Lonchura striata: one gene and its partners. The protein of the gene in region 1 interacts with the protein of each later gene in a biochemical or structural test. Links are inferred from orthologs where the notes say so. Each region holds a gene or a part of one and is shown in the gene's direction. Other genes may lie near its edges.

Region 1 (7,511 bases):
CCCGGCCCCCCCCGCACTTGGACCGGCCCTCTGGCCGCACGTGCACACGGAGCCTTCCACGCCAGCATCTCTCCCCCCCCGCTAGCGCAGTGGTACAGCCCGCTCCTCCCCACCGCGCTCAGTGGTTCGGCCCGCCCGGGGGTTCCCGCGGCTTCCGCTGCCCCGAGCCCGCGGCGGGAGCGGGAGCGGGAATCGGGACCGGGATCGGGGACCGGGAGCGGGAATCGGGACCGGGATCGGGGACCAAGGACCGGGAACGGGGCTCGGGATCGGGGACCGGGAGCGGGAATCGGGATCGGGGACCGGGAGCGGGAATCGGGGACCGGGGACCAAGGACCGGGAACGGGGCTCGGGATCGGGGACCGGGAGCGGGAACGGGGCTCGGGATCGGGGACCGGGGACCGGGAACGGGGCTCGGGATCGGGGACTGGGAGCGGGAATCGGGGACCGGGGACCAAGGACCGGGAACGGGGCTCGGGATCGGGGACCGGGAGCGGGAATCGGGGACCGGGAGCGGGAATCGGGACCGGGATCGGTGACCGGGACCGGGACCGGGGACCAAGGACCGGGAACGGGGCTCGGGATCGGGGACCGGGGACCAAGGACCGGGAACGGGGCTCGGGATCGGGGACCGGAAGCGGGAATCGGAGACCGGGATCCGGGACCGGGGACCAAGGACCGGGAACGGGGCTCGGGAGCGGGAATCGGAGACCGGGAATCGGGACCGGGAACAGGGACTGGGAGCGGGAATCGGGAGCACGACCGGGGACCAAGGGCCGGGAGCGGGAATCGGGTACCGGGACCGGGGACCGGGAGCGGGAATCGGGACCGGGATCGGGGACCAAGGACCGGGAACGGGGCTCGGGATCGGGGACCGGGAGCGGGAATCGGGATCGGGGACCGGGAGCGGGAATCGGGGACCGGGGACCAAGGACCGGGAACGGGGCTCGGGATCGGGGACCGGGAGCGGGAACGGGGCTCGGGATCGGGGACCGGGGACCGGGAACGGGGCTCGGGATCGGGGACTGGGAGCGGGAATCGGGGACCGGGGACCAAGGACCGGGAACGGGGCTCGGGATCGGGGACCGGGAGCGGGAATCGGGGACCGGGAGCGGGAATCGGGACCGGGATCGGTGACCGGGACCGGGACCGGGGACCAAGGACCGGGAACGGGGCTCGGGATCGGGGACCGGGGACCAAGGACCGGGAACGGGGCTCGGGATCGGGGACCGGAAGCGGGAATCGGAGACCGGGATCCGGGACCGGGGACCAAGGACCGGGAACGGGGCTCGGGAGCGGGAATCGGAGACCGGGAATCGGGACCGGGGACCAAGGACCGGGAACGGGGACTGGGATCGGGAATCAGGGACAGATCGGGATCCGGGAGCGGGATTGGGATCCGGGATCGGGGACCAAGGACCGGGATCGGCAATCGGGATCGGGGATGCGGACCGGGATCGGGACCGGGGACCAAGGACCAGGATGGGGATTGGGATCGGGACCGGGAACCAGGATCAGGATTGGGGACCGGGACTGGGACGGGGACTGAGGACCAGGATCGGAAACCGGGGATCGGGATCAGGGACCGAGGATCAGGATCGGGACTGGGATCGGGGACCAGGATCGGGAATCAGGGACCGGGATCGGGAATCAGTGACCGGGATTGGGACGGGGACCGGGCACCAGGATCAGGACCAGGGACCAAGTATCAGGATCAGGACTGGGATGGGGGACCGGGATTGGCACGGGGACCGGGGACCAGGATCAGAAACGTGGACTAGGGTTGGGATCGGGGACCAGGATCGGGACCGGAGGCCGGGATCGGGAATCGGGGACTGGGATCAGGATCGGGGACCGGGAACCAGGATCGCAGACTGGGGATCAGGATCAGGATTGGGAATCGAGGATCAGGATCGAGGAACCGGTTCCGTGGTCAAGAACACACGGGGAAACACCAGCTGGGGCACGGCGATCCCAGCTGGAGAACGGCGCTCCCGGCTGGAGCACGGCATTCCCGGCTGAATAATCCACGAAGGGGCAAAAGTGAGGGTGAGAAAAAAGGAACCAGCAAACCTTTGTCCCTCAAAATACCCAGAGAAGCTGCTCAGTGCCTCTTCGCTGGCTTTAATGGCTCTGCAAAGTCATAACCGGAGTCACATAAACTCTGATAATTGTGAAAAACGCCAATCACTTGGTTTTTCAAATTTTAAGTTTAATAATAATGAAATGGTTATAAAAATAGTAATACAATTAGAGCAATAAAGTTTAGAGTTAGGACAATTGCAAGACAATAAAAAGCAAAGAATTACGGATGTCTGGATGTTCTTGGACACTTAAGTCACAAAAAGCATCCCTTGTGAACAAAGGAATAACCTTAAAAGCAACAGCCTGTTGCATATTCATATATCCCTCATGGTTATGTATACATTCTATTTAAAACAAGAAACTGTTGTATGTCAACTAATTCCATTAATCCCCACGGTGTCTTGGAGTCTGAGCAAGGCCTGAAGAAATTCGCTTCTTCTGATACAAAACTCATAAATTCCTTTTCTTTGGAAGATTTAGGTGTTCCTCAAAGCGAGTATCTCATTCCTAAAAAAAAAAAAAAACCTTCCCCCACATACATAGTCTCTATTTTAACATTATGTTGGGAACCTAAAACTGTATTTAGCACACTACTTAAGGGAATTAATACAAAACTTGGAGTTACTCTCCTCACATCCACCATTCCCTGCCTCCATCACCCCCTGCTCCCACGACGGGAGTGACTGGATGGATTTCAAAGTGGCAAATACTTTGTTCAGTGCCGAGACACGCATCTTGAGCATTAATGTTATTGCCTTCACAAAGGAATCCTAGTTGCTCCTTAGCAACACAGGATTCTAAGTTTGCTGTTTGCCACTTTTCATTCAGCTTTCGTGCCCACACTCTATGCTCTGAGGGGTTTTCTTATGATTTAATTCTAGTGCGATGATGGGGTGGGTCACATAAACAGTGGCATTACGTATAGGAAGCACAAAGGCAGTGGGCACATTAGAAGCAGGATCACAGGTAAAATGGATGAGTTACTCTGTCCCCACATCCAACATTCCCTGTCTCCATCATGCCCCACTTCCATGAGGGACTGGATGAGTTACTCTCTCCTCACATCCATGATTCCCTGCCTCCATCACCTCTAATTCCACGAAGGACTGGATGAGTTACTTTCTCCACATCCACCATTCCCTGCCTCCATCGTTCCCCACTTCCACAATGGAATCGATGAATTACTCTCTCCTCACATCCATGATTCCCTGCCTCCACGCCACTGGTTCCAGGACAGACTGGATGAGTTACTCTCCCCACATCCACCATTCCTTGCCTCCATCGTTCCCCACTTCCAAGACGGACTGGATGAGTTACTCTCTCCCCATATCCACAATTCCCTGCCTCCATGCCGCCGGTTCCACAAAGGACTGGATGAGTTACTCTCTTCACATCCACCATTCCCTGTCTCCATCATTCCCCACTTCCATGACAGACTGGATGAGTTGCTTTCTCCACATCCACAAGTCCATGCCTCCATCATTCCCTGCCTCCATTCCCTGCTTCCATGACGGACTGGATGAGTTACTCCCTCCTCACATCCACCACTCCCTGCCTCCACAACGGATGGGATGAGTTACTCTCTCCCCACATCCACCATTCCCAGTCTCCATCATTCCCTGTCTCCACGAAGGGCTGGATGAGTTACTCTCCACATCCACCATTCCCAGTCTCCATCACCCCGATTCCAACCCCGCCACCGGCCCCGCGCCATTCCTGAGGGGGGCGCGGGTGGCGCCCGGCGCATGCGCGGAGCGCTCCCGCGGCGATTCCCCCTCACACACGGAGATACACACAGAGACACACTCACACACAAACATACACACACACAGACACACACAGACACAGACACACACACACACACACACACACACACCTACCACACAAACCCCGCTCGCTCCCTCCGCGCCATTCCCGCCCGGTGCAGGCGCATGCGCGGCGCGCTCCCGCGGCCGTTCCCCTCACACACGCATCCCTCCCCTCACACGCACCCCCCTCACACACACACACACACACACACACACACACACACATAGACACAGACAGACAGACACACACACACACACACAAAACACCCACACACAGCCCGCAGTCGCTCCCTCCGCGCCATTCCCGCCCGGCGCAGGCGCATGCGCGGCGCGCTCCCGCGGCGGCTCCCCTCACACTCACAGAGACCCCCCCCACACACACAAACACAGACACGCTTATACACATAAACATACAGACACACACAAACACACAGAGACGCAGACACAGACACATACACACACACACACACACAACCCCCACAAACCCCGCTCGCTCCCTCCGCGCCACTCCCGCCCGGCGCCGGCGCATGCGCGGCGCGCTCCCGCGGCTCCCCTCACGCTCGCGCCGGGCGCTTCCGCCGCGGCAGTTCCGGCCCGGCCGCTGCGCGGGCGGTGTGGCCGCTCCGCTCCCGCCGCTCTCGCCGGCCCGGCCCCGCGTTCCCTTCCGCGGCACCGCCTCATGCAGCGCCGTGACGACCCCAGCGGTCGTTTATCTCGGGGACAAGGCCCCGGTGGCCGCGCAGCGCCGCGCCGGCCGCCCCGTGGTGGCGGAGGGGCCCGCGGGGCCGCAGCGCAGCCGCCGCCGCCCGGTGTGAGCGTGGTCGGTGGGACATCGGGGCCGGGGGGATCCGGTATGGTTGGAGGCAAGATGGAGCCTGAGAACAAGTACCTGCCCGAGCTGATGGCCGAGAAGGACAGCCTGGACCCGTCCTTCACGCACGCCATGCAGCTCCTCACCGCAGGTACCGGGAACGCGGCGGGGAGAGCGGGTCCCGGTGGCCGTTCTGAGGGCTGGGAATGAGATATTTCTATGTGGAATCGCAAGGTTATTTCCACGTGTAAAGCGAGAGTTTTGTGGGTGTTTTATTGGTGGTTGTGTTAGGTTGCATTGTGTGAGCTTTCGTGGTGTGGCCTCGGCCAGACAGGAGAATCAAAAGCCTTGAGATGACCGAAATGACAGGAGAATCAAGAGAATCAAAAGCCTTGAGATAACTGAAATAAAAGGAGAATCAAGAGAATCAAAACCCTTGAGATAACTGAAATTAAAGGAGAATCGAGAATCAAAACCCTTGAGATAACTGAAATTAAAGGAGAATCAAGAGAATCAAAAGCCTTGAGATAAATGAAATAAAGAGAGAATCAAGAGAATCAAAATCATTGAGGTAACTGAAATTAAAGGGAATCAAGAGAATCAAAAGCCTTGAGATAAATGAAATGAAAGGAGAATCAAAATCATTGAGGTAACTGAAATTAAAGGAGAATCAAGAGAATCAAAATCCTTGAGATAACTGAAATAAAAGGAGAATCAAAATCCTTGAGATAACTGAAATAAAAGGAGAATCAAGAGAATCAAAATCCTTGAGATAACTGAAATAAAAGGAGAATCAAGAGAATCAAAACCCTTGAGCTAACTGAAAGGAAATAATTTTTTTAAATCATTTTAAATGAAATAATTTTTGAAATACTTTTTAAATATAAGTTTAATAGTCGAAATAAAACGTGGCGGTATTTATTTTTTTAAATAATATTTAAGTTTAAGAATTGAAGGAAAACCTGGTGGTAATAGGAAATCTGCTGATGATAATTGCGATGTTCAAGCGATGCCCAGTTCATCACCTCATCCCCGAGCTCCTTCCAGGTTTCAGGGTGGGAGTGACAATCCCAGGGGACAGTCCCGGGCCTGGAATGTCCCTCTGGTGACCTGCTTTGGGGACAGCTCCTCTCCTTTGCTGACAAGTCTCAGGCTGTCGGTAATGCGAGTCCCATAAAAATCCCTAAAAATAGCTGGAAGAAAAGGAGCTGTGTCCCAGAAATCAGGGGGATTTCTGTGGGCAAATCGGGAGGATTGCTCGGATGACATCTCCATTGGTGCTTTTTTAGTTATTTTTTATTATATATTTATTATTCTATTTTGTTCTTTATTTTTAATTATTTTTTTTCCACCTGCTTTTAAGATTGTTAAATTATTATATTTTTATCATTATATTTACTGTTGTTATGTTAATATGCTTATCATTATATTTATTACATTTATCATTATATTATTATATTTATAATATTTATACTTTTATTTATAATTATTTATTACCATATTATAATATTTATAATATTTATAGCTCTATTTATTATATTTATTATTATATCATTCTATTTATTATAATATATATAATTAAATTTATCACTATATTCATTATCGTATCTATTATAATTTTTATTGGGATTTAAAGATTATTTATTAGACTTTTAGAATTATTCTAATTAATGAAATTATTAAATTTTATTTTATTACATTTTATAATAATTTTAATGGTCATTTAGCCAATGGTAATTTATTTAATTATTATTTATTTAAGTTATTTGAATTAACAATTTAAATTTCTTAATTGGAATTTTTTAAATTATTTATTTCTTCACCTGCTTTTTTTCTTAAATATTTCTTTTTCTCTGTGCTTAAAAATGCAGAGTTTTGCTGCAGCTCTGGAGGTTTTAGGAGCTCATTTTATGCAGGGAATAATTCTTGGGAATTGCTTCTCTCCCTTTGTGCAAACAACCCATTACAGCATCACCCACCAGCATCTGGAGCTAAATAAATGGGTTTGTAATCCGATTTTCCATCGGTTTCATGGGTTTGATTAATAAAATCCTTCACCCAGCTCGGCTGTGGCGCCTCCCAGCCAAAGGAAACCCAGGGAATTTGCAAATTCCCACATCCTGCAGAGCCTCCTTCACCTGAGGGGTGTGACGAGAGTGTAGGGAGGGCTTTTTATTCATTAATTTATTATTTTAATGACTGCAGCTTTGGGGGATGTAAAATTGCAGCAGCTCCAGCTGTGGGTATTTTGAATTTTTTTTGGGGGTAGCATTCCCAGTCCCAGTTCAGGGTGAGCAGAGCAGTAAAACAAGAAAGAATTGGAGGTAAAATGGTGGGTTTAGGTGATTTTTTTTTTGCCTGGATGACCCCCAGGGTGCTCTGGTTTATTTGGAATTTCACTCTGGGCCAAAGCCGTGATGCACAACTCCAGCAAAATGATTTCCAGACACAGAACCCATCCTGAGGGTCAGCAGGATTCTAATTCCAGCCTTTTTTTCCTTCCCAGAAGTGGAAGTTGCTCAGGCTGCCTGCCTCGGGGAGGGAGCCCTGCTGGAATTCTGCATTCATTTCTTTAGAAACATCTTAAAGTTGTCTAAAATATTTGGTGGTTCTGTATTTCTAGAGGAAATTGTCTCTTTTTTTTTTTGCTGGCAGTGATGAGATTCTTATCGATTCCATTGACTCTGGTATGGAAAGGAAGAAAAACTGAAAACTGGGATTTCTTGCATTTTCAAATATAATCCTTGTTTCCCTCCTGGGATTTGGTGTCTGTATGACCTTCCTTTTGCATAGGAACAAGAAAATCC
Region 2 (7,139 bases), on another chromosome or scaffold:
CCCTACCTGATGGTGGGTGCTGTGCAGTGGGTGGGGGGCAGCAGAGCACATGAGGGGTGCAGGGACCCACTCATCCGTGTCCTCCCACAGCAATGGCTCCCACGAGACCTTTGAAGCGTATTATAGTGGCACCTCCTCGCCCTCCTTCCACCGCTCCCACCACAGCCTGGCCACTGCCTGCAGTGGCAGTGACCAGAGTGGCACAGGACTGGAGCAGCTGCAGGACTACATGGTGACGGTGAGGGCACAGGGATGGGCACAGGGACAAGCAGCAGGAAAGCAGTGCCAGCAGCTGGGGCAGGGGCAGGAGGCAGGTGTGGGCTCCCTGTGCCAGAAAGCAGCAGCAGAACACAGGGCAGGGGGCTGGGGGCTGTGTGCAGCTGGTGTCCCAAAGCCCAAACCTGTCCCTGTGTCACCACAGCTGCGCAACAAGTTGTCACCACAGGAGATCCAGCAGTTTGCCATCCTGCTCCGCGAGTACCGTCTGGGCACGCCGGTGCAGGAATACTGCACGGAGCTCCTGCGCCTCTACGGGGACCGCAGGAAGTTCCTCCTCCTGGGTGAGTGTCTGCAGCCACTCTGTGTCACCCTGGTGATGTCTGTGCATCCCTTGGGGCCATGAGGCTGGTGCTGGGTGTGCTTCAGGGGATGTCAGGACCCTGTTGCTTGCTGGGGCAGGATGGGACAAACCAGTAGGGCTGGCCTTGCACCCCAGTACTGCCCAGCTGGGCAGCCTCCCGAGGCTTACGGTGCCTATGACAGGAATGAGGCCCTTCATCCCTGACCAAGACATCGGGTACTTTGAGACCTTCCTGGAGAGCATCGGGATCCGGGAGGGTGGGATCCTCACCGACAGCTTCGGCCGCATCAAGCGCAGCATGAGCAACACGTCGGCCTCGGCCGTGCGCAGCTACGACAGCTGGTCCCTGCGCTCCGAGTCCGAGTCCTTCAACCGCATGATCACGGACATCACCCACGACATCGAGGCGCTGGCACGCGATGAGGAAGAGGAGGAGGAGGAAGAGGACAACTACCTGTGAGCCAGTGCCAAAACCCAGCTCGTTGGTGTGGTGCTGCACCTCCAGGACCAGACTCAGCAGGTGCCCAGCTCTGCCCCAGAACCAGGGGGGGTGAATTTGTCACCATGGGAGGGGACAGGCCTCTGCACTGCCCTGCCAGCTATTGTCAAGGCTGTTGGAATCACAGGGTAGCCATGGCTGTGGGAGAGACACATGTGCTGTAATTTCTGCAAATTTCAATTAAATGCTGGGACTGGGAGTGGAGCAGAGCAGTTTCTTCTGCAGCGGTTGCTGCAGTATGGGGGTGAGCTGGGGCAGGGGACTGCTGGGCTGGGCTGGGCTGGGCTGGGCTGAGCACCTGCCCACTCCAGTGTCACCTGGAGGTCACCACCATGTCAGGGTGCTGTTCCTGGCTGGCTCCAGGGGATGCTCAGAGCAATGGAGGGGGTCAGCGGGAATGTGCTGCGAGAGGAAAGGGCTGGTGGCTGCAGCTGGCCCTCTGCTGCCTGCGAGGCCTGTGCGAGACTCGTCCGGCAGCGGGCTGCGGGTGTTTCACAAAAGGAAGTTCCTGCCCCGGACCAGCTTCCTGCAGTCCCGCCCTGCAGCCCCTCCGCCGCCGAGGGACGGGGCCGTGCTCCCCGGCCCCCGGTGGACCTCAGCTGATGTTCCCTGGCCACCGTCCCCGAGCCGATTCCCCCTGGCCACTGTACCCCAATATCCCACGGCTGCTGGCCCGTGGCTGATGGCCCCGAGCCAACATTCCCTGGCCCAATGTCCCTTGGTGGGGACCGGGGTTCGGCGCTGCAGCTCCAGGGCGCTCTGTGGGCAGCAGACGCTGGGGTTATCGGAGCAATTTATTTTTTCTACCAAAAAAAATTTACATATGCAAACCCTCCTGGGGTGGGACGCTCTCCCACCCCGGCTGCTTCCTCTGAACGCGAGCAGCCCATGGTCAGGGTCACACAGAGCCGTGGGTCCCCTTGCTGATGCTGCCTCCATCCCGAATTCAGGGGTTGTCCGGGCAATCCAGGAGAAAAGCTGGAACATGCCGGGCTGGGTAGGAGCTTTGGCACGGGAATACCAGGGCCAGCAGGGACACCACAAAGCGCAGGGACACCCGGACCTCTCTGAGCTGTGCTTCACAAAGCCAGTCCCATGCACCCCAGTGTGTCCTGGATGCCCTCATGTCCTGCACCCCACCACGGATGCTCAGGGCTTTCTTTTCTCCTTCTTGGGACAGAAAACCGGGCTGACTCCGGGTCCTGTGCTCCCCCCGTGCCCCCCGCTCTCCGTGACCCTGCACCAGGCGGGGAAACATCCTAGGGGCTGCTCTGGGGAGCGGGACCCAAACTCGTCCGGTGTCCCGGGGACGGCGGATGGACAGACGGGCTCTGGCACCCCTCGGGGGTCCCTAAAGGCAATGGGGTCACCCAAAGCTGGGATGTCCTTGCTGGTGCGATTTGTGGGATGCTGATCCCCGTTCCCAGCGCCGCAGAGGAGGCACCGGCCGCACCCTCCCAGTCGGAGTCGGGGGCGGGGCCGCACCGGGAGGGGCGGGGCCGCACCGGGAGGGGCGGGGCCGCACCGGGAGGGGCGGGGCCGCACCGGGAGGGGCGGGGCCGCACCGGGAGGGGCGGGGCCGCACCGGGAGGGGCGGGGCCGCACCGGGAGGGGCGGGGCCGCACCGGGCGGGCGGCGGGAGAGCACCGGGCAGAGCGGAGCGGCAGCGGCAGCCGGGGCTCCGCGACGGGACTGGCAGCGGGACCGGCCACGGGGACGTGCCTCGGGGCGCAGCGAAGGTGAGAAGGGTCGGAGCCGTGCGCGGAGCTCCGAGGGCGGCGAGGGAGCCCCGCCGCCAGTCCCGGGCAGCCCGGAAGGTCCGACCCCCCCCGGGCCGGTCGCGGTCAGAGCGGCGGACCCCGGGTGCCCGGGATGAGGCGATGGCCGGGAATCTCACGGGTCCCGGTGCAGCCCCGGTTGGACACAGTGTAGCTCCGACGAGGGGTCCCTGCCGGTGGCTTTGCAGGGGCTGTCGGGGACCGAAGGCACGGGCAAGGGCAGCAAGGGCAGGGGGCTGCGGGCATCCTTGCTCTGGGAACGAAGGGCATCCTCATCCAACCTGGTCCTCATGGCTGGGGACAGCGCATGAGCCTTGGGACCTGGTTCTCCAGGGTGGGACACATCAGGAATGCCAGCTATGCCACAGGAGCCAGTGGGAATGACCCTTGGACTGCCCCGGGTGATTGTGCTCTGTAGGGCTGGATGCGCTGAGGCGGTGTGGGACGGGAACAGCAAATACCTGCAGTGGTGATGGTGTGAGCCATGTCTGAGTTTAAGCTGGGCCCCAGTGCGTTTGCCAGGATGGATCTGGCACAGTCCCCAGGCTGTGCCCAGTGAGGGAGATGAGCTGTCGTGGCTGCTCCTGCTCTGCCCTTGGGAGCAAGGCTGGCCCAGGCTTTGGAAAGACCAGGAGTGACCATGGTGTGTTATGTGACAGTGATGTTCCTCAAGAGCTGTGCTATGCACATCGAGGGTTCAGCCCTGAGCTTCCTCCTTCACTGTGACCACCAGCACCTTCTGCTTTCTCTGCACCCAGGTCCCCCTGGCCAAGGGAAGTACATTTGCAAGGGGTTTACCACTCTTGCTGCTTCTTGCAGCTTTTTTTTCCACTGAATTTCTTGGGGTGCTGGAGAAAGTTGAGCATTTGTCATTGCCCCGGACTGGATGTTTGGGGCAGCTCCCACCCAGCAGAGATCAGGGGAGCACAGTGTGGAGTGGTGGCCTGTGGTGGTGGTGGGGGCCATGGGCACCAGGGGTGCTCTGTGGGGACCCCCAAGCTGCAGCAAAGCTCACCAGGATCAGGGCCCCTCTTTGCAGAAGATTCTGAGTGTGACTCTCTGCTGCCATGGTGCCCAGTGCCTGCACCTTGTCCTGCATCCCACAAGGGCAGGGAAGCTGCTCCGTGGCTGCTGCTGGTGTCTCCCCAAACTTTACCTGCTATGACATCTCCAGGAGATCCTTTTTCCTCTGGAGTGTCCCTGGGCACCCCAGTACCCTGAAGCTTGGGAGGAGCAAAGTTTCTCTGTCCCAGCAGAGCACTGGGTTGGGCTCTGGGGCCCTGTGCTGGGTGGGAGCTGATGGGAACAGGGCTGGACTGGGGTTGGAGTGGGGCTTTCACCTCTGTTGCAATGGCCTCACTTCCCCTTCCTTGGCAGCAGCATGGGTTGTGTGAAGTCAAAGAAAGCCGGTGTCCAAGAGAAGATGATAAAAACTGATCCTGGTCCTGATCCTGGCCCCACCATCCAGCAGGGCCACTATGTGAGGGACCCCACAGCCACCAACAAGCGGGTGAGTGATGAGAGATTTCAGGGCTGAGCTGTCACAGGGGGTTCAGCCCCTCTTCTCAGCAGTGCCGCCAACGCTGAGAGTGGAGCCGGCTGAGGGCATTGGCAGTGCCCATGCCCCGGGACAGGGACTTGGCTATTGGGTGGGAGCCCAGGCCACACTGAGACAAAGCACAGAGTGGACCTGATGGGAATGCAGGAATTATGGAGAAAGAGAGAGAAAAATGAAGGTGTTGGGAGGGGGTGGAGATGCTGGTGCTGGCTGGGTTGTCGTGTCAGGTGGTGCTGGTGCTGCCCCTCGGGTGCCCTCCTGCTCCTGCCATTGCTGTTGGGGCCAAGACCCACCATGGGAAACGGGTCTCTGCCACCTGTGATGTCACTCTGTGGTCTTGTTGCACTTTCCAGAACAATCATGTCCCCAGCATGGCTGTGTCCCTGCCTGAGGCTGGTAGGTACAAAGGGGCTGCAAGTGGGTGCAGGGGGTTGGAGTGTGTGGGGGCAGTGTGGCCCAATCCTCTCTGAGCTAGGGTGAACATCTTGGAGGGATGGGAGCTCAGGGTTTCCCTGAAGGGCCAGATGTGACATGATGAAGATGGAGGTGCTGGGTGCTGTAGGGGTCCTGGCAATGTCCTGGCCAGTGTTCATGGCAGGAGTGGCCAGGCACCCCATCCCAGCATGGGGAGGGGTGCCCAGGGACCTCCCTTGCTGCAGGCCTGGGGGACAGCGTGGTGCTGGCACTCTACGACTACGAGGCGATGAACGCTGGGGACCTCAGCTTCCAGAAGGGGGAGAGGATGAAGATCCTGGAGAAGTAAGTGCTGCTGGCAGCCTCCTGTCCACAGTCTCCTGATGGCTTGTGTGGCCCTGTTGGGATTTTTTTCTGGAATTTGCCCTGGAGGAGCACCCTGCTGGTGCCCAGGTCCAGGTGCCAGGAGCCAGCCCAATGCCACTTCTGTCATAGGTCAGGGGAATGGTGGCAAGCACGGTCGCTGGTGACAGGATGTGAAGGCTTCATCCCAAGCAACTACGTTGCCCAAGAAAACTCGCTGGAGACAGAGGAGTGAGTCCATCCCTGCATGCCAGATCCTGGCTCCATGCTGTCCCACACTTCCCCACTGCCGCTGTTCCCGCTCCTGCCTCATGTCCTGCCCCCAGCCCTGACCCACTCCAGCATTCCTTGGATCATTTGGTTCTGCTGCAGGTGGTTTTTCAAGGACATCAGCCGGAAGGACGCGGAGCGGCAGCTCCTTGGCCCTGGGAACATGATTGGGTCCTTCATGATAAGGGACAGCGAGACAACGAAAGGTGTGGAGAGGTGTCCATAGCACAGTGGTGGGGAACAGCTGCCCAAAGGGCTTCCCTCATCCACCTTGGCCTGGAAGAGGAGCTCCTTCCCCAGCCCTGGGGATCTTCTGTGCTGCAGGGAGGGACTGGGAGGCCCATGCCCTGGCTGGAAGTGCCCCTGCCATAGCCTGTGGCACTGCCACATGTCTGAATCCCACGGCAGGGACAGGGGGATGTGTCCCTTTGAGGCTGCTTTGGGTGTTTGGTGGCTGAAGGGGTGGTGGCAGCAGCGTGGGATGGGTGCTGCTGGCTCTGCTGGGCGATGGCTCTGTGCGTGCCAGGATGGCCAGGTGCAGCAGGAATGTGCTCCCGTGGGAGATGCCAGCTCAGCCCTCCCTGCCCAGGCTCTTACTCGCTCTCGGTGCGGGACGGGGACGAGCTGCGGGGCGGGGCAGTGAAGCACTACAAGATCCGCACTCTGGACAGCGGTGGCTTCTACATCTCCCCACGGAACAACTTCAACACGCTGCAGGAGCTGGTCCAGCACTACAAAGGTGAGCCCTGGGGTGCTTGGCCGCCCTTCCCAAATGGAGCTTTGTCCCTGAGCCAAGCAGTCAGGCAGCTGGGGGTGTGCAGAGGCTGAGGGGCTCCTGCCCATCACCCCTGGGCTCCTGCTGCGGCTCTGACTGCAACATGCAGTGACTTCCAGACCTCCCCCTATTGCCATGGCTGGCCTGCTGGCTGTCACAGCTGTGGTGCTGGTGTCCTTGAACGCCCATGGTGGCCAGAAGTCCCCCGTGAAGCACAGTGTGGCCAGTGAGACAGGCTGGCTGATGGCCCTGGATGCTCTCCTCAGGTCAGAGTGATGGGCTGTGCCAGAAGCTCACCCACCCCTGCCGTGTACCCAAACCAGAGAAGCCCTGGGAGAAAGATGCCTGGGAGATCCCTCGGGAGTCACTGAGTCTGGAGAGGAAGCTGGGAGCCGGGCAGTTCGGAGAAGTGTGGATGGGTGAGAGAGAGGGGGAGGTGGCAGGGAGGATGATGAAGGTGACGGTGGAGGAGGAAGGGTGAGGGATGTGTGAGAAGGCAGAGGGATGGTGGGGTGGGAAAGACAAGGAGGGAGAGAAGCAGAGGGACATGGAAGTGACCCTGCCTTAATGCAGGGGCTGGTTGGGGCTGGGCAGGTGGGGACAGCCTTGGGCTGTGTGTGGCCTCCAACCTTCCCACAGCAGCTGTGTCTGCAGGGCTGGGACTTTGGCTCCAAAGCTCAGTGCTCGCAGGGCAGGGTGGGAATGATCTGTTGTGGCACCCCCAGCTACCTACAACAAGCACACCAAGGTGGCGGTGAAGACGATGAAGCCGGGCAGCATGTCCGTGGAAGCCTTCCTGGAGGAGGCAAACCTGATGAAGACACTGCAGCACGACAAGCTGGTGAAGCTGCACGCCGTGGTCACCAGGGAGGAGCCCATCTTCATCATCACTGAATTCATGG
Region 3 (7,913 bases), on another chromosome or scaffold:
TTTACAGAAAAAACTCAGTAACTAACAAATCAGCTTCCAAAGTTGAGGATAATTTTAGTGTTGCTTAAAACATTACATCATTGTTCAGTGTATCTATATTTGGAGTCAGTATATACAGGCTCATGGGAGAATGCAAACATGCTTTTTATGAAGCCATAAATAATAAATATACATAAATATAAATAGTAAGGTTTCTCTTGCATTTAAACACAGACAATAATAATATGGATTTTACAGAATGGATCACAGACACTAAGAAAGACTGACAGAGCAATCATGTAGCACTTTTTTATATACTACTACAGTTAAAGAGGTGTTGGATTGACAGGGTGTCATGGTTTAAAAGCCCAGGCAGAAACCAAGCTATAGAGACCTGCTTGCTTACTGCCCCACCAGTAGGACTATGGAGAGAAATTAAATTGTAAAAGCCAGAAAACTCATGGGCTGAGATACAGTTTAAGAGGGAAAGCAAAACCCATGCCCACAAGCAAAACAAGAAATCAATCCACTGCTTTCCAAGGGAGCACAGTTGTTCAGCCACTTCCAGCAGAGAGGGCCCCATCACATGTAATGGTGACTTGGGAAAAAAATGTCATCACTCCAAATGTTCTCACTTCTCCTCTTTCTTATCTCTATTTTATATATTGATTATGATGTCACATGGTCCGGAATACCCCTTTAGTCAGTTGGGGTCACCTGTCCTGGTTGTGTCTCCTCCCAGCCCCATGCACCCACAACTTCCTTGCTAACATGGAAAGTGTATGAAAAGCAGAAAAGAAATACATGTAGCATTACAGCTATGCAGGCAGAAAGAAGCAACACTCTGTAACTGTTTTTTTTACACTTGTGGGAGTAGAAGGGGAAGAACTGGAGTAGTTGGATCATTCCAGGTTCTTCATTACAGGAAAGCTGCTTTCTTAACACTGTGTCCTATGACAGAAAGACTGAAAATTCTTCTGATGATATTGATTTCTGAAATGGGATAAAACTTTAGAAAGGTGGAAATAAAGTGTGCTCAGGCAGAAGAGGGAGGCAGGAAATAAGGACTGGAAGGGAATGTTTTGTGGTATTTGTATTTACTATAAAAGTAACACTTTCCCTTTTAATAACTGAAATATTGTGTCACACTTTATGTGGCTTTTCACCCTAATAATTAGGGTGTCTAACAGCTGTCAAATTTTGTAAAAAATCCCAATTGATTCTCTGACATATCTGTGAAATAGCTTGTTACTTTACTGATGGAGAAAGAATAACTTTGCTCAAATTACTTGCCAAATGCCATATAAATCAGTGACAAACCCAGCCTGAATACCTGAGCTCCTAATCAGGCATATACCTGCCTGCCCTGCCACTGTTCTTGAAATATGTACTATTATATTAGCTCAAACTAGGCAACATGGAAATGTACTTTTCAGGGAATCTAGCCTGATACCATTCTGACATAGCAGGGATGAAGGACTGACTATCCTAGTGTCATGTATACCAGAGATTTCAGAATAAGACATATTTGCAGAAGCTCAAGAAGTATCAAGAAAAATATTGTTATACTTTATTATATGTGTATATGATAATTTGTGCAAATAAAATTGTCATATATTTTATAATTATGTACTGTTAATATATACTCTTATAAGAAATTTTTAAAATGCACAAGTCAGTGACAGGGATTGTAACACATTGTCAAAACCACCTGGAAAAAGGAGGGAGGACTTCATTTACAATCAAATGAATGTGGCCAGCCCAGAGATGAATCATCCATCAAGGTGGTCTACCTGGATGATGAATATGCGATAAATATCTGAGATTGAGATAGCCAGAGCCATCAGGGTGATACATCTCAATACTGAATTCTGGGAACATGGTCATGGGTGTTCATCACTCTCTGGACATGTTTTGTTCAACTTGCCACATAGACTCCACATGAATATGTGCAGTCTGAAAAGGAAGAAAAGGGACTCTGCCTCGGGCAAGAAAAACCGTATAAAAATTGCTCAGACAGGACAGTCAGTGTGAAGCATAGGGGACCCTCTGCTGTTAGCAGTCAAACCTGTGTCTCACCCAGTACTGATACCTGGGCTCAGCACTGACCCTTTTTTTTGAGAGGGGCTTTTCATTGTTCTTCTCTAAATTTAAATTTGGACCATTTAATGAATTTTCTTTAATTAATAAATTGGAAAATGCATTTATAACAACTTGCCCCTTCATCCAAATACATCGATTTATAAAAAAGTCCAATAAAGGCTTGTAGCTGTACTTTTGAGTAGTACTGAGTGGGGCAGGGAGTTGGACTCAATGATCCTTATAGATCACTTCCAATCCGAGATATTTCATGATTCTAAAGAGGCAGTCAGCTTCAAAGGTTTAAGAAGTGACACAGGTTGACGTGTAGAACCTCTAGCACCAAATAACTCAGGATGGCAACTTTGCCTGCAAAGTGAACAGAAAAGGTGTGTTGGGTGCTCAGCTGATATTACTAGGAGCTCTTTCTCTGCAGAGTCCTTTTCAAATTTAAAACTGTTCTCACCAAAACAAATCTCTTGAAAGAGCATTGTAGACACATTACCCTCTCCTGAATAAAATTCTTAGTACAGCTGTCCTTCTAATTCCCACGCCTCCACACACATACTGCTGCCCTGAAAGGCACTTAGAAAACCTGCCTCATAAAGGGAATATTTTAAATATTTACACTGCATTTCTATATTTAGGCTTATTGCTACTACTAGAGTAACAAGGATAAAATTATTTTGTTTTGAAATCTGTGAGGGAAGCAAGAAGCAGTAAAAGGGAAAGCAACAGGGAGAGCAGCCTACAATATTCCTTGAAATTAACAATTTCAGAATGGTAATACTGCAGAAAAACAGCAATATATGGGTATATTACAATGGTGTAGACTGAGGGCTAGAGCCAGCTTCTCTTTTCACTGTGACCCTAGGCACAAACCCAGCATAATTCCACATGTCTTGAAATGATATGTGGAATAAATAAATAGACTACACAACTTGGGGAAGTTATGAAGTGGGTACGTATTGTCAGCACCAGGCACAAGTGAGATTGTTCTCCAAGACTTGTGCATCGAGCCTTAATCTGACTCAAACTTTTATTTACAAAGGTGTTCTATATGCAACTTTTTAATGCATATTTAACCCCTGGCCCCGCTTGTCCTCTCCTTTCATGCTAAATAAATCTACACCCTTCTAGGCATGTGTGGTTTGCTGTGGTGGTCACACAGGGGTCTCTCGGTGGTCCTGAGGCTGAAGATTGTGGTCTTCCTCATGATTGAATTTTTCTCCTTTGCACGTGCTCTGTCAGTCTTTTGGTGCTTATCTGAGTACGTCTATCAGTCTTGATAAGCTTGGAGAAAGAGCAGCTTCTTTATCTGGGTTCTTTGCATTCTTTGGTATTGTTCTTTATGTAAGAAGCTTCAGAAATTTGCATTTTCTTATGGCCTTTGTACCATGGCAGAGGTTTTTTAAGTAAAAGGTTAATATTCAACACATAATTCCACAAGCTAAAATTTAAATGCTCAATTAATTTTGTTAACTCAAGAGAACTCTAAAAATCTCTGTTTCAGTCTTAGTAGTGTAAATTGGAAGCAGAGTTTGCCCTCAGAAGGAAAGATATGAAACAATTTCAGCAGATAAAAAGAGCTTGAGAGCTGTGAAAGTGGGAGCAGTAGATTGTTCTAATTGCCTCAGGAAAAATTAACTTAATACTTTTGGGTAACACAAAGCTTTGAAAACCTGAATGTTTAGATGCTTTTTGAGAACTGCAGAGAAGCATGCAAGTGTAAACGTGCTGCTATTTGTCAGCTCTTTTAGCACTGGGAGGAAAAAAACAAAAAAATCTGAAGATAGCTACATACTGTACTGCCGGGTAAGGGCCATCACATGATGTCTTCTTGATCCCAGAGGTATGAAGTGAAGCTGATGTATGAAAGAAACCCACTTTAGGGAGAAAAATGGTTGATAGTGAAGTTTAGGTATAGATTTGCTTAAGGTGGGATTGAGAGTTTGCAAGCTTGAGTAACATGACAAAAATACAGTTTCAGAGAAGTACAGAGTAAAGCAGACTCTTAGTCACAGTTCTTACAAGGTAAACGGTACCACCAGGATGTATTTTTAAAATCCATAGTTAGAATTGAATCAAAGTCATTAAGGTTGGTAAATACTACCCATATCAAATCTAACCATGAACCTAACACTGACAGGTGCTGCCCCAGGAGCCTGTTCCAGTGCTTGTCCACCCTTTCAATAAAATATTTTTTCCTAACATCCAGTCTAATGTCCCCTTGACAAAACCGTTTCCACTTGTTCTATCAATACTTGAAGGAAGGGCATAGAGAGGTAGGGACTGGTTTCTTCTACTGTATCTGCAGTGGCAGGATCAGGGGAAATGGCTTCAAACTGAGACGGAAGAGATTCAGATTATACAGAATCATACAGAATAAGCTGAGCTGGAAGACGCCCAATAGCTTTTCTTCACTGTTAGGGTGGTCAGGCATTGGAACACGTTGCCTAGGGAGATAATGAAGTCATCATCCCTGGAGGTGTTCAAAAGGCTTCCGGATCTGGCACTGGATCATACGGGTCCAGAGTTACAGTACTTATGTTGGGCTGAGCTAGTGAATCCGACCCTACCCCCGCACGTTCCCACCCACTCGACCGCGGAACGAGCCCTTTATTTCCCTAGACCGCATAACCGTAGCTATCCGCAGCTATCTGCGCCCGGCCGGCGCTGTACCGCCCGCGCAGGCGCAGAGGTGCCGCGCAAGCGCGGAGCTCCCCAGGAGGGCGGCGCTTCCCTGGGGCGGTCGCGGACCGAGGCAGCCGCGCGGGGCCCTGTGGAGCGGTCCAGCCCCCGCCCAGCCGGGCATTGTTCCCGGCCCGTCTCCGCCGGGAAGACTCAGCCGCCTCCCGAGTCCGCTGCCTGCCGCGTCGGGGGGAGGCGCGCTGGGGGCAGGGGCCCAGAGCCCCTTTGTCGCCTCCTCCCCGGCGTGAGGCCGTTGGCGAGGCTCAACATGATGGCGGCCGAGGCCACGGGTGAGGAGGGAGTCTCGGGCGCTGTCGCCGGGACGGCGGGAGCCGCCGCAGCAGGAGAGCTGGGGCACTGCCCCGCCTTGTGCCGTGGCCGGGCGCCGGAGCCGCAAAGCCTCTTCCTTGTCGGCGGCGGCCCCCCAGGCGGGCCGGATTTGTGCTCGGTTCTGGGGCTGCTGGAGCTGGGCGCGGGGCCAGCCCCTCCAGCGACCGCTGGGGCTGCCGATCTAGGCTTCCCCCCGCTGCCGCCGCCGCCACCACCGCCCCCGCTGGCTGGGGGGCTGGGGACAGTGGACGAGGGAGACTCACTGGACGGACCGGAGTACGAGGAAGAAGAGGTGGCCATTCCGCTCAACGCGCCCCCCACCAATCAGTGAGTACCCACCGCCCCCGCCTCAGTCATTGTGGGGAGTGGGTACCGTGCTGTCGACCCCCCACCGCTAGCCGAGAAAAGTGTATGTCAAACTCGGCTGGAAGTCTCGCAGGAGCTTTGCGTCCCACCTCGTCACCTTCCCTCCCTCCTCTGGTTCCGTTCCAGCAGGAAGTTTGCTTCGCGGGGACACTGCCCGTAGTCTGCGGAGCGCAGCCCACCCGAAAGTCGGGAGAGTGAGCGGCAGCAGCAGGGAGGTTGGACTCCTTCCCCTTCACGGGGAGCTGGTCCTCCTGTACTGAGTGGGATCAGCTTACGGGAAAAGGGCGACTGAGTTAGTTTTTTGCAAGTTTTCATAGCAGTACTGCAGAGGCTGCCAGGAAGAGTGAGGTATTCTGCTTGTGGTTTAAACTACCTGTTGGGGAGACTTTTCCAGTCACTGGTATCCCCTTCACAGTAGAGTCATAACCTTAATTTCTAAAGAAAAACAAATAAATAGTAAATAGAAAAAAAAAATCCATGGCATAAAAGACTTTATTTACCATGTCATCATTTTGTATTGTATTGCTTTCTGCTGAAAAAAAAAAGATAACTTACCTTTTCGAATTTATATATAATCAACCAAAGTAATGTCCACATGTTCGATCTTTTTAAAAATTCAGGCAGTTCAATTCTCGCATCATGGATTTAAAAGGAATTAAAATAATTTCTTAATTTTAAAAGTGTTAACCGATTGGTATTTTTATAAATGTTTTAACTACCTTGCTGCTCAACCAATTTAGAGTTGTTTTTATATAGGTTGTGCTTGGAGAGAGGAGACATTTGGAATAAACTGTAAACTTATAGTTAGGTTTTATTGTATTTATCCGTACATCAGGTTAATTTAGATTCCTTTAGTGGTAGTAATAGAATCTTCCACTAGAGGCAGACTAGTTCTTTGTTGAAGTTGTGTGAAATATAAGATCGGGTAATGTTATAGAGAATCCATGAAATTAGTAAGTACTCTAAACACAGCCTTTGGATTTCACTGTAGAAGATTTACAGGTTTACTCAAAGCATTTCCAAGGTGTGTATTAGAATAGAGAATAAATCTTTTCTTCCATTTCCTTATCATATTCTCCCCAAAATGAAATGGTTCAGAGGCTTACATTTTTTCATTAGTATAATTTCTATAAATATGTTGTTCTTGTAGTTCTTACAAGTATAGTGGATAATTTAGGGAGTAACATACATTTGTATTTAAAGAGATATATATAGATAGGTCAGAAAGTTAACCTAAAAATCTGTGAAATTTTGGGTTCATTCCTTATATTCTGTCATAACTTGACTGACAGAGTTAACTTCAGCATTACGTTACATACTCTTAGGATTTCAGGAGCCATTGTCCTTTTAAGTAGGACATAAAATTGTAATAGCTTCTATAACAAGCTTCTCTGAGCTTGTTTTGCAAATTAAAAAAAAAAGCCCAAAGCAAACAAAAAAGCTCGAACACAAACCAAATACAGTATGAATTCCTCGTCTTCTAATTTTTAGGCTGTAAAGATGTTAAGAAGTGCTTTTTTAAACATGAGTATACTTTTAAATAGTGTAAAGTTGGCCATCTGGCTTTCACAGTGACTAGTATGAAGAGATGGGAAATGAAGCACCTGCAGGTTCTGCAGTTCGCATAAGGATGTTGTAATATAGTTTGCTCAGGGAGGTTTGGGGAATATGTGTTCTTTTAGTGTGTATTCTTTAATATTCAAACCATGGGAGGATATTAACATATAAGACCTTCTCTTTATTAGCAAACTCAGAATCCCCCAGTAGGGTTGATTTTTTAAATCTCTGACCTAGAGTGAAACTAACATGAGGCTTGTCTATTCAAGTGTGGCGGGGAGTTTTCATTTTTATGTAGCACAGCAGTGGTGTGTTTATATTGCAGATTAATGGTAGGTGGGACGCACAGGATACTAGGGAATAAAGTGGGCAACTGTTTTAGGTAATTTTTTCCCTGCTTTCTGCCCCATTTGCAGAGCTCAGTGACAGAGGTGCAAATAGCTTAAGAAAATGCCTTTGGATTTAATGAATAAATGAATGCTGATTGTTATGTATTTGACTTAAAATCTTAGTTGACAAAATTATTTTCTGTCCTAACATTGCATTAATGTGGCAAGAGCTGTTCTAGTATTGCAGCAAAACTGGCATTTTCATACAGTATTTTTTGAGCAGTGCTTATTAATTTGAAATGGAAATCAGTTGAAATCTGAAAGTGATCAACCACACAAAATGAAATAGACTGTCAAAAATGCTGTCTGATTAAAACAAATCTTGCCCAGAGCAGATACATATTTTTACAGTCGCTCTTGGAGCTTGTTCAGGCAGCATAGTAAGAAAAAGCACTGAAGGTGAAGAAAGGTAGAGGAATACTAAATAAGAAGGGATTGCATTAAAGTAGACTTTTCCTGCCTGATCATAGAGTTAAATTCTGATATCTTCACATGAATGTTCAAGGTGGCAAGCTGAGAGTT
Region 4 (7,166 bases), on another chromosome or scaffold:
CCTCGGGTCCGGGGGGATTTTGGGTGTTCTGGGATGGATTTTTGGGGGGATTTTGGGAGGTTTTGGGGCTCCCTGTGACTCCGGGATTTTTGGGGGGATTTTGGGGGATTTTTGGGGGGATTTTGGGGGATTTTGGGGGATTTTGGGGGTCCCTGAGCCCGAATTTCCCCGCAGAGGGGGAGCACACCCGCTGCAAGACCCTCCTGACCGCCCGCTCCGGGGCGCTCTCGGCCTTCACCTCCAAGCGCAGCAGCTGCATCGGCTGCCGGGCCCTGCTGCCCCACCACGGTGAGACCCCCTCATTAACCAGTTAATTAGCCCCCGCACTAATTAACCCCTAATTAGTCACCTCGGGGTGGAATTCACCCGGTTTTGCAAAAAAAAACGGGTCAGAAACGGTCAAAATCCCCAAAACTGAACCTGAAAAAAGGGGATACTCGGAATGGAGCCCCCTCCTCAAATTAATTACCAGAATGCCTGCCCTAATTAATGGGCCCTGCTCTAATTAACGGGCCCTGCCCTAATTAACTCTAATTAATCCCCTCCAGCTGGAATAAACCTGGTTTTACCAAAAAAAAACGGGTCCAGAATGGCCAAAATCCCCAAAATTCGACCTCGAAAAATGGGATTCTGGGAATTGAAGCCCCCTCCCCAAATTAATCACCAGAATGCCTGCCCTAATTAACGGGCCCTGCGCTAATTAACTCTAATTAATCCCCTCCGGCTGGAATTAACCTGGTTTTACCAAAATAAACGGGTCCAGAATGGCCAAAATCCCCGAAATTCCACCTCAAAAAAGGGGATCCTCATAATTAAAGCCCCCTCGCCAAGTTAACCAAGCCTAATTAACAACCCCGCCCCTAATTAACGACCCCAACCCTAATTAACGACCCCGACCCGAAATTTCCCATCCCCGAAATTAATCCCTTTTCCCCAAAATGGGGGTCCAGGACCCCCAAAATTCCCAAAATTCAGCACAAACATCCCCAAAACTGGGGGGGCTGGAGCCCCAAAATCCCCAAAGTCAAGTCCCTTCCCCAAATTAACAAAAAATTATAATTTAAATCGTTAATAACTAATTAATACCTCCATAATTTAACCCATCCTGCCCAAAAATTTGGGGTCCCGGAGCCCCAAATTCACCCAAAATGGACCCAAAATCCGCAGGTGCAGTTTGCGATTTCTGCCGCCAGAGGGAGTCCGAGCTCTACCAGAAAGAGGTGGGGGGGGCTGGGTCCGAAATTTGGGGTTAAATTTGGGGTTTTGGGGTTAAAATTGGGATTTTGGGGTTAAAATTTGGGATTTTGGGGTTAAAATTGGGATTTTGGGGGTTAAATTTGGGATTTGGGGGTTTAAATTTGGGATTTTGGGGGTTTAAATTTGGGATTTTGGGGGTTTAAAGTTGGGATTTTGTGGTTTTGGTCCCGAATTTGGGGTTTGGGGGGTTTTGGGGTTTTAAATTTGAGATTTTGGGGGTTTTGCGGTTTTGAATTTGGGATTTTGGGCTCCCGAATTTGGGGTTTTGGTTTTGGGGGACCCAAATTTTGGGTGGATGGGTTGGGGATATTTTGGGGTTATTATGGGATGTTTCTCAGGTGAGCCAGGTGTGGCAGCTGGAGGGGTTTTGGGGATATTTTGGGGATATTTTGGGATATTTTGGGGTTATTATGGGATGTTTCTCAGGTGAGCCAGGTGTGGCAGCTGGAGGGATTTTGGATATTTTGGGGATATTTTGGGATGTTTTGAGGATATTTTGGGGATATTTTGGATATTTTGGATATTTTGGGATATTTTGGGATATTTTGGATATTTTGGGATATTTTGGGATATTTTGGATATTTTGGATATTTTGGGATGTTTCTCAGGTGAGCCAGGTGTGGCAGCTGGATGTGTTTGGGATATTTTGGGGATATTTTGGGATATTTTGGGGGTTATTATGGGATGTTGCTCAGGTGAGCCAGGTGTGGCAGCTGGATGTGTTTGGAATATTTTGGGATGTTTTGGGGATATTTTGGATATTTTGGGGATATTTTGGGGTGTTGCTCAGGTGAGCCAGGTGTGGCAGCTGGAGCGCAGCTTCGCCCGGCTCTGGAGCCAGTGCCAGCGGTGCCAGGGCTCCCTGCTGCAGGACGTGCTCTGCTCCAGGTACACCTGGGCACACCTGAGGGGCACCTGGGGCACCTGTGTGTCACACCTGTCACCTGTGTGTCACCTGTGTCACCTGTGTCACACCTGTGCCACCTGGGTCACCTCCTGTGTCACCTGTGTGGCACCTGTGTGTCACCTGTGTGTCACCTGTGTGTCACACCTGTCACCTGTGTCACCACCTGTGTCACCTCACCTGGGTCACCTGTGTCACCTGTGTCACCTGTGTGTCACCTGTGTGTCACCTCCTGTCACCTGTGTGTCACCTCCTGTGTCACCTGTGTGTCACCTGTGTCACCTGTGTCACCTGAGCCCTGTCTGTGTCACCTGTGTCACACCTGTGTGTCACCTGTCATTATCCCCATGCCACACCTGTGTCACCTGTGTGTCACACCTGTCACCTGTGTCACCATCCCTGTGTCACACCTGTGTGTCACCTGTGTCACCTGAACCCTCTGTGTGTCACACCTGTGTCACCTGTGTCACCTGAACCCTCTGTGTGTCTCACCTGTGTCACCTGTGTCACCTCACTCAGGTCCCCTCAGTCACCCCCAAATGTCCCAAAATCCCCAAATCCTCCTAAAATCCCCCAAACCCGCCCAGTCCTGAAATGTCCCAAAGTCCCCAAATCCCCCCAAATCCCCCCAAAAAACCCAAATGTCCCCAAATCCCCCCAAAATCCCCCAAATCCCCCAAAAAAACCCAAATGTCCCCAAATCCCCCAAAATCCCCCAAATCCCCTCAAAAACCCCAAATGTCCCCAAATCCCCAAATCCCCCAAAATCCCCCAAACTCCCCCCAAAAAACCCAAATCCCCAAAGGTACCAAAATGTCCCCCAGTCCTGAAATGTCCCAAAAAACCCCAAAATTCCCAAATGTCCCAAAAAACCCCAAAATCCCCAAATGTCCCAAAAATCCCCAAAATCCCCAAATGTCCCAAAAATCCCCAAAATCCCCAAATGTCCCAAAACCGCCCAATCCCCCAAAATCCCCAAATCTCCCCAAATCTCCCCAAATCCCCAAGTGTCCCCAAATGTCCCCAAATCCCCTCAAATCCCCAAATGTCTCAAAACCCCCCAAAATCCCCCAAACTCCCCCAATCCTGAAATATCCAAAAAACCCCAAAAATCCCCAAATCCCCCAAAATCCTCCAAATCCGCCCAATATCCCCTGAATCTCCCAAAATCCCCAAATGCTCCCAAATCCCCAAATGTCACAATATCCCCCGAATCCCCCCAATCCTGAAACCCCCCAAAATCCCCAAAAACCCCCAAAATCCCCAAAAAACTCCCAAAATCCCCTAAAATCCCCCCAAAATCCCCCCAAAACCCCAAAATCCCCTAAAATCCCCCCAAAATCCCCGCAGCCGGGACTGCCCCATTTTCTACATGCGCCGCAAGGTGCAGAAGGACCTGGAGGCGCAGCAGGAGCTGCTCCGGCGCTTCGGGGAGCCCGACTGGTGACCCCAAAATCCCCCAAATCCGCCCCAAAACCCCAAAATTTGGGATTTTCGGGGCCCACTCACCCCCCCAGCCCCGGCTTTTTGTATGGGAAGTTTAATAAAGAGCGAGTTTCTAGTGATTCCGTGTGGTTCTCTATCGGTTTTTTGAGGTTTTATGGGTTTTTTAATAATTTTGGGGGGGGTTTTTTGGAGTTTTTTGGGGATTTTTTTGGGTTTTTGGGATTTTTTGGTGTTTTCAGGAGGAATTTGCATTGATCGCTGCGGCCGCTAGGCGGCGCTGCGCGGGAGGCGTGGCTTGCTGATTGACACCTCCCCCGCCCAATCAGCGCGCAGAACCGCCCCGCCGCGCCGACCCGCGGGCGTGGCCTCGCTTTCACCCATGACTGACAACCCCCCCGCCCAATCAGCGCTGCGGGGCGTGGGCTAAGCCTGATGGGCGTGGGCGCCGCCCAATCATCACGCGGCGAGCGGGAAGCGGCGGCCAATGGGGAGGCGCGCGAGGGGGCCGGCGGCGGCCCCGCCCCCGCTATAAAAGGCCGCGGCGCTGAGGGCCGCCGCTGGCGCTCACAAGATGGCGGAGGCGGCCAATTGCACCATGGAGGTGAGAGCGGCGGCGGCGGCGCGGGAAACGCCGGGCCTGAGGGCAGAGCGGGCCCGGGCGGGCGGGGAGGGCGCTGGGGGGGCTCGGCGATGGCGGGGGGCGGCTCTGAGGGGATTGGGGCGGCTCTGAGGGGCTCTGAGGGGATTGGGGGGGGTTTGAATTGCTCTGAGGGGATGGGGGGAGCTCTGAGGGGCTCTGAGGGGATTTTTGAGGTTCTGAGGGGATTTTTGGGGCTCTGAGGGGATTTTTGGGGCTCTGAGGGGTTTTGAGGGGATTTGTGAGTCTCTGAGGGGCTCTGAGGGATTTCAGTGAGGCCTGGGGTTTTTTATGGAATTTTGGAGGATTTTAATGAAATTTTGGGGGTTTAAATGAAATCTCGGGGTTTTAAATGAAATTCTGGGGGATTTTAGTGAGAATTTGGGGGTTTTAGTGAGATTTTGGGGATATTAGTGAGATTTTGGGGGTTTTAGATAGATTTTGGGGGTTTTAGTGAGATTCTGGGGGTTTTAGTAAGATTTTGGGTTTTTATGAAATTTTGGGGGTTTTAGTGAGATTTTGGGGGTTTCAGTGAGATTTCGGGGATTTTAGTGAGATTTTGAGTTTTTTTATGAAATTCTGGGGGATTTTAGTGAGATTTTGGGGGTTTTAGTGAGATTTTGTTTTTTTTAATGAAATTCTGGGGGGTTTTAGTGAGATTTTGGGGGTTTTAATGAGATTTTGGGGTTTTAGTGAGGATTTGGGGTTTTTAGTAAGGTTTTGGGGTTTTTACTGAGGATTTGGGGGTTTTTATGAAATTTTTGGGGTTTTTATGAAATTTTGGGGGATTTTAATGAGGTTTTGAGTGAGATTTTGGGGTTTTTAGTGACGTTTGGGGGATTTTAATGAGGTTTTGGGGGGCTTAATTAACTTGAGGGGGTTTAATGAGGTTGGGGGTGTTTTGTCGTGACTGGGGGGGGACACAGGAGCAAATTCCCAGGGACCCCAAAATTTTGGGTCTGGGACCCCAAAATTCCCAGGGACCCCAAAATTTTGGGTCTGGGACCCCCCCAGGTTTCCAGGGACCCCCAAAATCTGGGTTGTAACCCCCCCAAATCTCCTCTGACCCCCAAAATTTGGGGTTTCAGTCCTCCCCTTCCTCAAAGTCGCCCCAAATTTTGGTCCTGACCCCCCTAAACCACCAAAATTTGGGGTCTTGAGCCCCTATATCCCCTCTGCCCCCCAAAAATGGGATCGTGACCCCCAAAAATTGGGCTTGTGACCCCCCACCCCATTTTAGGGTCCCCCAGCCCCATTTTAGGCTCTCCAACCCCAATTTAGGGACCTCCCACCCCTTTTTTAGGGACCCCCAACCCATTTTTGGGGTCATTCACCCCATTTTTAGGCTCCCCCCACGCCGATTTTGGGGTGCCCACCCCAATTTTGGGGTGCCCGGCCGGTTTTGGGGTGCCCGGTGACGTCTCTCGTTCCTCTTTCCCCAGAATTTTGTAGCCACCCTGGCTAACGGGATGAGCCTGCGGCCGCCTCGGGAGGAAGTAAATATTCCCCAAAAACCCCCAAAATCCGGGAAAAACCCAAATTCTGCCCCAAAAAACCCCAAAATCCGGGAAAAACCCAAATTCTGCCCCAAAAAAACCCCAAAATCCGGGAAGAACCCAAATTCTGCCCCAAAACCCGGGAAAAACCCAAATTCTGCCCCAAAATCTGGGAAAAACCCAAATTCTGCCCTAAAAAACACCCAAAATCCAGGAAAAATCCAAATTCTGCCCCAAAACCCGGGAAAAACCCAAATTCTGCCCCAAAACACCCCCAAAATCCGGGAAAAACCCAAATTCTGCCCCAAAATCTGGGAAAAACCCAAATTCTGCCCCAAAAAAACCCCGAAATCCGGGAAAAACCCAAATTCTGCCCCAAAAAAAACCCCAAAATCTGGGAAAAATAAACATCCAGTCCCAAAATCCGGGAAAAATCCTGAAATTCTGGGGGGAAAAATCCCCAATCCAGCCCAAAAACCCCCAAAATCCAGGAAAAACCCAAATTCTGCCCCCAAAAACCCCAAAATCCGGGAAAAATCCAAATTCTGCCCCAAAACACCCCCAAAATCCGGGAAGAACCCAAATTCTGCCCCAAAACCCGGGAAAAACCCGAATTCTGCCCCAAAATCTGGGAAAAACCCAAATTCTGCCCCAAAAAACACCCAAAATCCGGGAAAAACCCAAATTCTGCCCCAAAAAAAACCTGAAATCCAGGAAAAACCCAAATTCTGCCCCAAAATCCGGGAAAAATCCAAATTCTGCCCCAAAAAAAACCCGAAATCCGGGGAAAACCCAAATTCTGCCCCCAAAAAACCCCAAAATCCGGGAAAAACCCAAATTCTGCCCCAAAACCCAGAAAAAACCCAAATTCTGCCCCAAAAACCCCCAAAATCCGGGAAAAACCCAAATTCTGCCCCAAAAACCCCCAAAATCCGGGAAAAACCCAAATTCTGCCCCAAAACCCGGGAAAAACCCAAATTCTGCCTCAAAATCCAGGAAAAACCCAAATTCTGCCCCCAAAAACCCCAAAATCCGGGAAAAACCCAAATTCTGCCCCAAAATCTGGGAAAAACCCAAATTCTGCCCCAGAAAACCCCAAAATACGGGAAAAACCCAAATTCTGCCCCAAAACCCGGGAAAAATCCAAATTCTGCCCCAAAAAAAACCCGAAATCCGGGGAAAAGCCAAATTCTGCCCCAAAACACCCCAAAATCCGGGAAAAACCCAAATTCTGCCCCAGAAAACCCCAAAATCCGGGAAAACCCAAATTCTGCCCCAAAAAACCCCAAAATCCAGGAAAAATCCAAATTCTGCCCCAAAACAGCCCAAAATCTGGGAAAAACCCAAATTCTGCCCCAAAATCCGGGGAAAAACCAAAATTCTGGGGGATAAAGTGAAATTCTGGGGAAAAGAAAACCCAAATGCA

What was found.
Region 2: the proteins of KHDRBS1 (region 1) and HCK interact in a biophysical measurement, tested with the Homo sapiens proteins (2 studies listed by BioGRID and IntAct, with this or other methods). The link is inferred for Lonchura striata from reciprocal best matches to the Homo sapiens genes KHDRBS1 and HCK.
Region 3: the proteins of KHDRBS1 (region 1) and RASA1 form a complex in vitro, tested with the Homo sapiens proteins (2 studies listed by BioGRID). The link is inferred for Lonchura striata from reciprocal best matches to the Homo sapiens genes KHDRBS1 and RASA1.
Region 4: of the proteins of KHDRBS1 (region 1) and PRMT1, one has a biochemical effect on the other in vitro, tested with the Homo sapiens proteins (2 studies listed by BioGRID). The link is inferred for Lonchura striata from reciprocal best matches to the Homo sapiens genes KHDRBS1 and PRMT1.

The regions. Positions count from the first base shown.
Region 1 is NC_134628.1:1,138,627-1,146,137, reverse strand, and holds the start of KHDRBS1 (KH domain-containing, RNA-binding, signal transduction-associated protein 1), read left to right. Parts: upstream 1-4,492; 5' UTR 4,493-4,572; coding exon 4,573-4,855; intron 4,856-7,511. UniProt on the Homo sapiens protein: Recruited and tyrosine phosphorylated by several receptor systems, for example the T-cell, leptin and insulin receptors. Once phosphorylated, functions as an adapter protein in signal transduction cascades by binding to SH2 and SH3 domain-containing proteins.
Region 2 is NC_134619.1:7,650,027-7,657,165, forward strand, and holds the start of HCK (tyrosine-protein kinase HCK), read left to right. Parts: upstream 1-4,126; 5' UTR 4,127-4,238; coding exon 4,239-4,367; intron 4,368-4,768; coding exon 4,769-4,811; intron 4,812-5,074; coding exon 5,075-5,174; intron 5,175-5,324; coding exon 5,325-5,423; intron 5,424-5,564; coding exon 5,565-5,668; intron 5,669-6,051; coding exon 6,052-6,201; intron 6,202-6,503; coding exon 6,504-6,656; intron 6,657-6,962; coding exon 6,963-7,139. Other genes in the region: CCM2L (cerebral cavernous malformations 2 protein-like), read left to right, coding at 91-238, 422-560, 763-1,040. UniProt on the Homo sapiens protein: Non-receptor tyrosine-protein kinase found in hematopoietic cells that transmits signals from cell surface receptors and plays an important role in the regulation of innate immune responses, including neutrophil, monocyte, macrophage and mast cell functions, phagocytosis, cell survival and proliferation, cell adhesion and migration.
Region 3 is NC_134642.1:53,185,091-53,193,003, forward strand, and holds the start of RASA1 (ras GTPase-activating protein 1), read left to right. Parts: upstream 1-4,901; 5' UTR 4,902-5,017; coding exon 5,018-5,406; intron 5,407-7,913. UniProt on the Homo sapiens protein: Inhibitory regulator of the Ras-cyclic AMP pathway. Stimulates the GTPase of normal but not oncogenic Ras p21; this stimulation may be further increased in the presence of NCK1.
Region 4 is NC_134640.1:2,740,181-2,747,346, reverse strand, and holds the start of PRMT1 (protein arginine N-methyltransferase 1), read left to right. Parts: upstream 1-4,157; 5' UTR 4,158-4,178; coding exon 4,179-4,208; intron 4,209-5,686; coding exon 5,687-5,740; intron 5,741-7,166. Other genes in the region: DNA polymerase delta catalytic subunit, read left to right, coding at 175-288, 1,168-1,220, 2,048-2,145, 3,512-3,608. UniProt on the Homo sapiens protein: Arginine methyltransferase that methylates (mono and asymmetric dimethylation) the guanidino nitrogens of arginyl residues present in proteins such as ESR1, histone H2, H3 and H4, FMR1, ILF3, HNRNPA1, HNRNPD, NFATC2IP, SUPT5H, TAF15, EWS, HABP4, SERBP1, RBM15, FOXO1, CHTOP, MAP3K5/ASK1, MICU1 and NPRL2.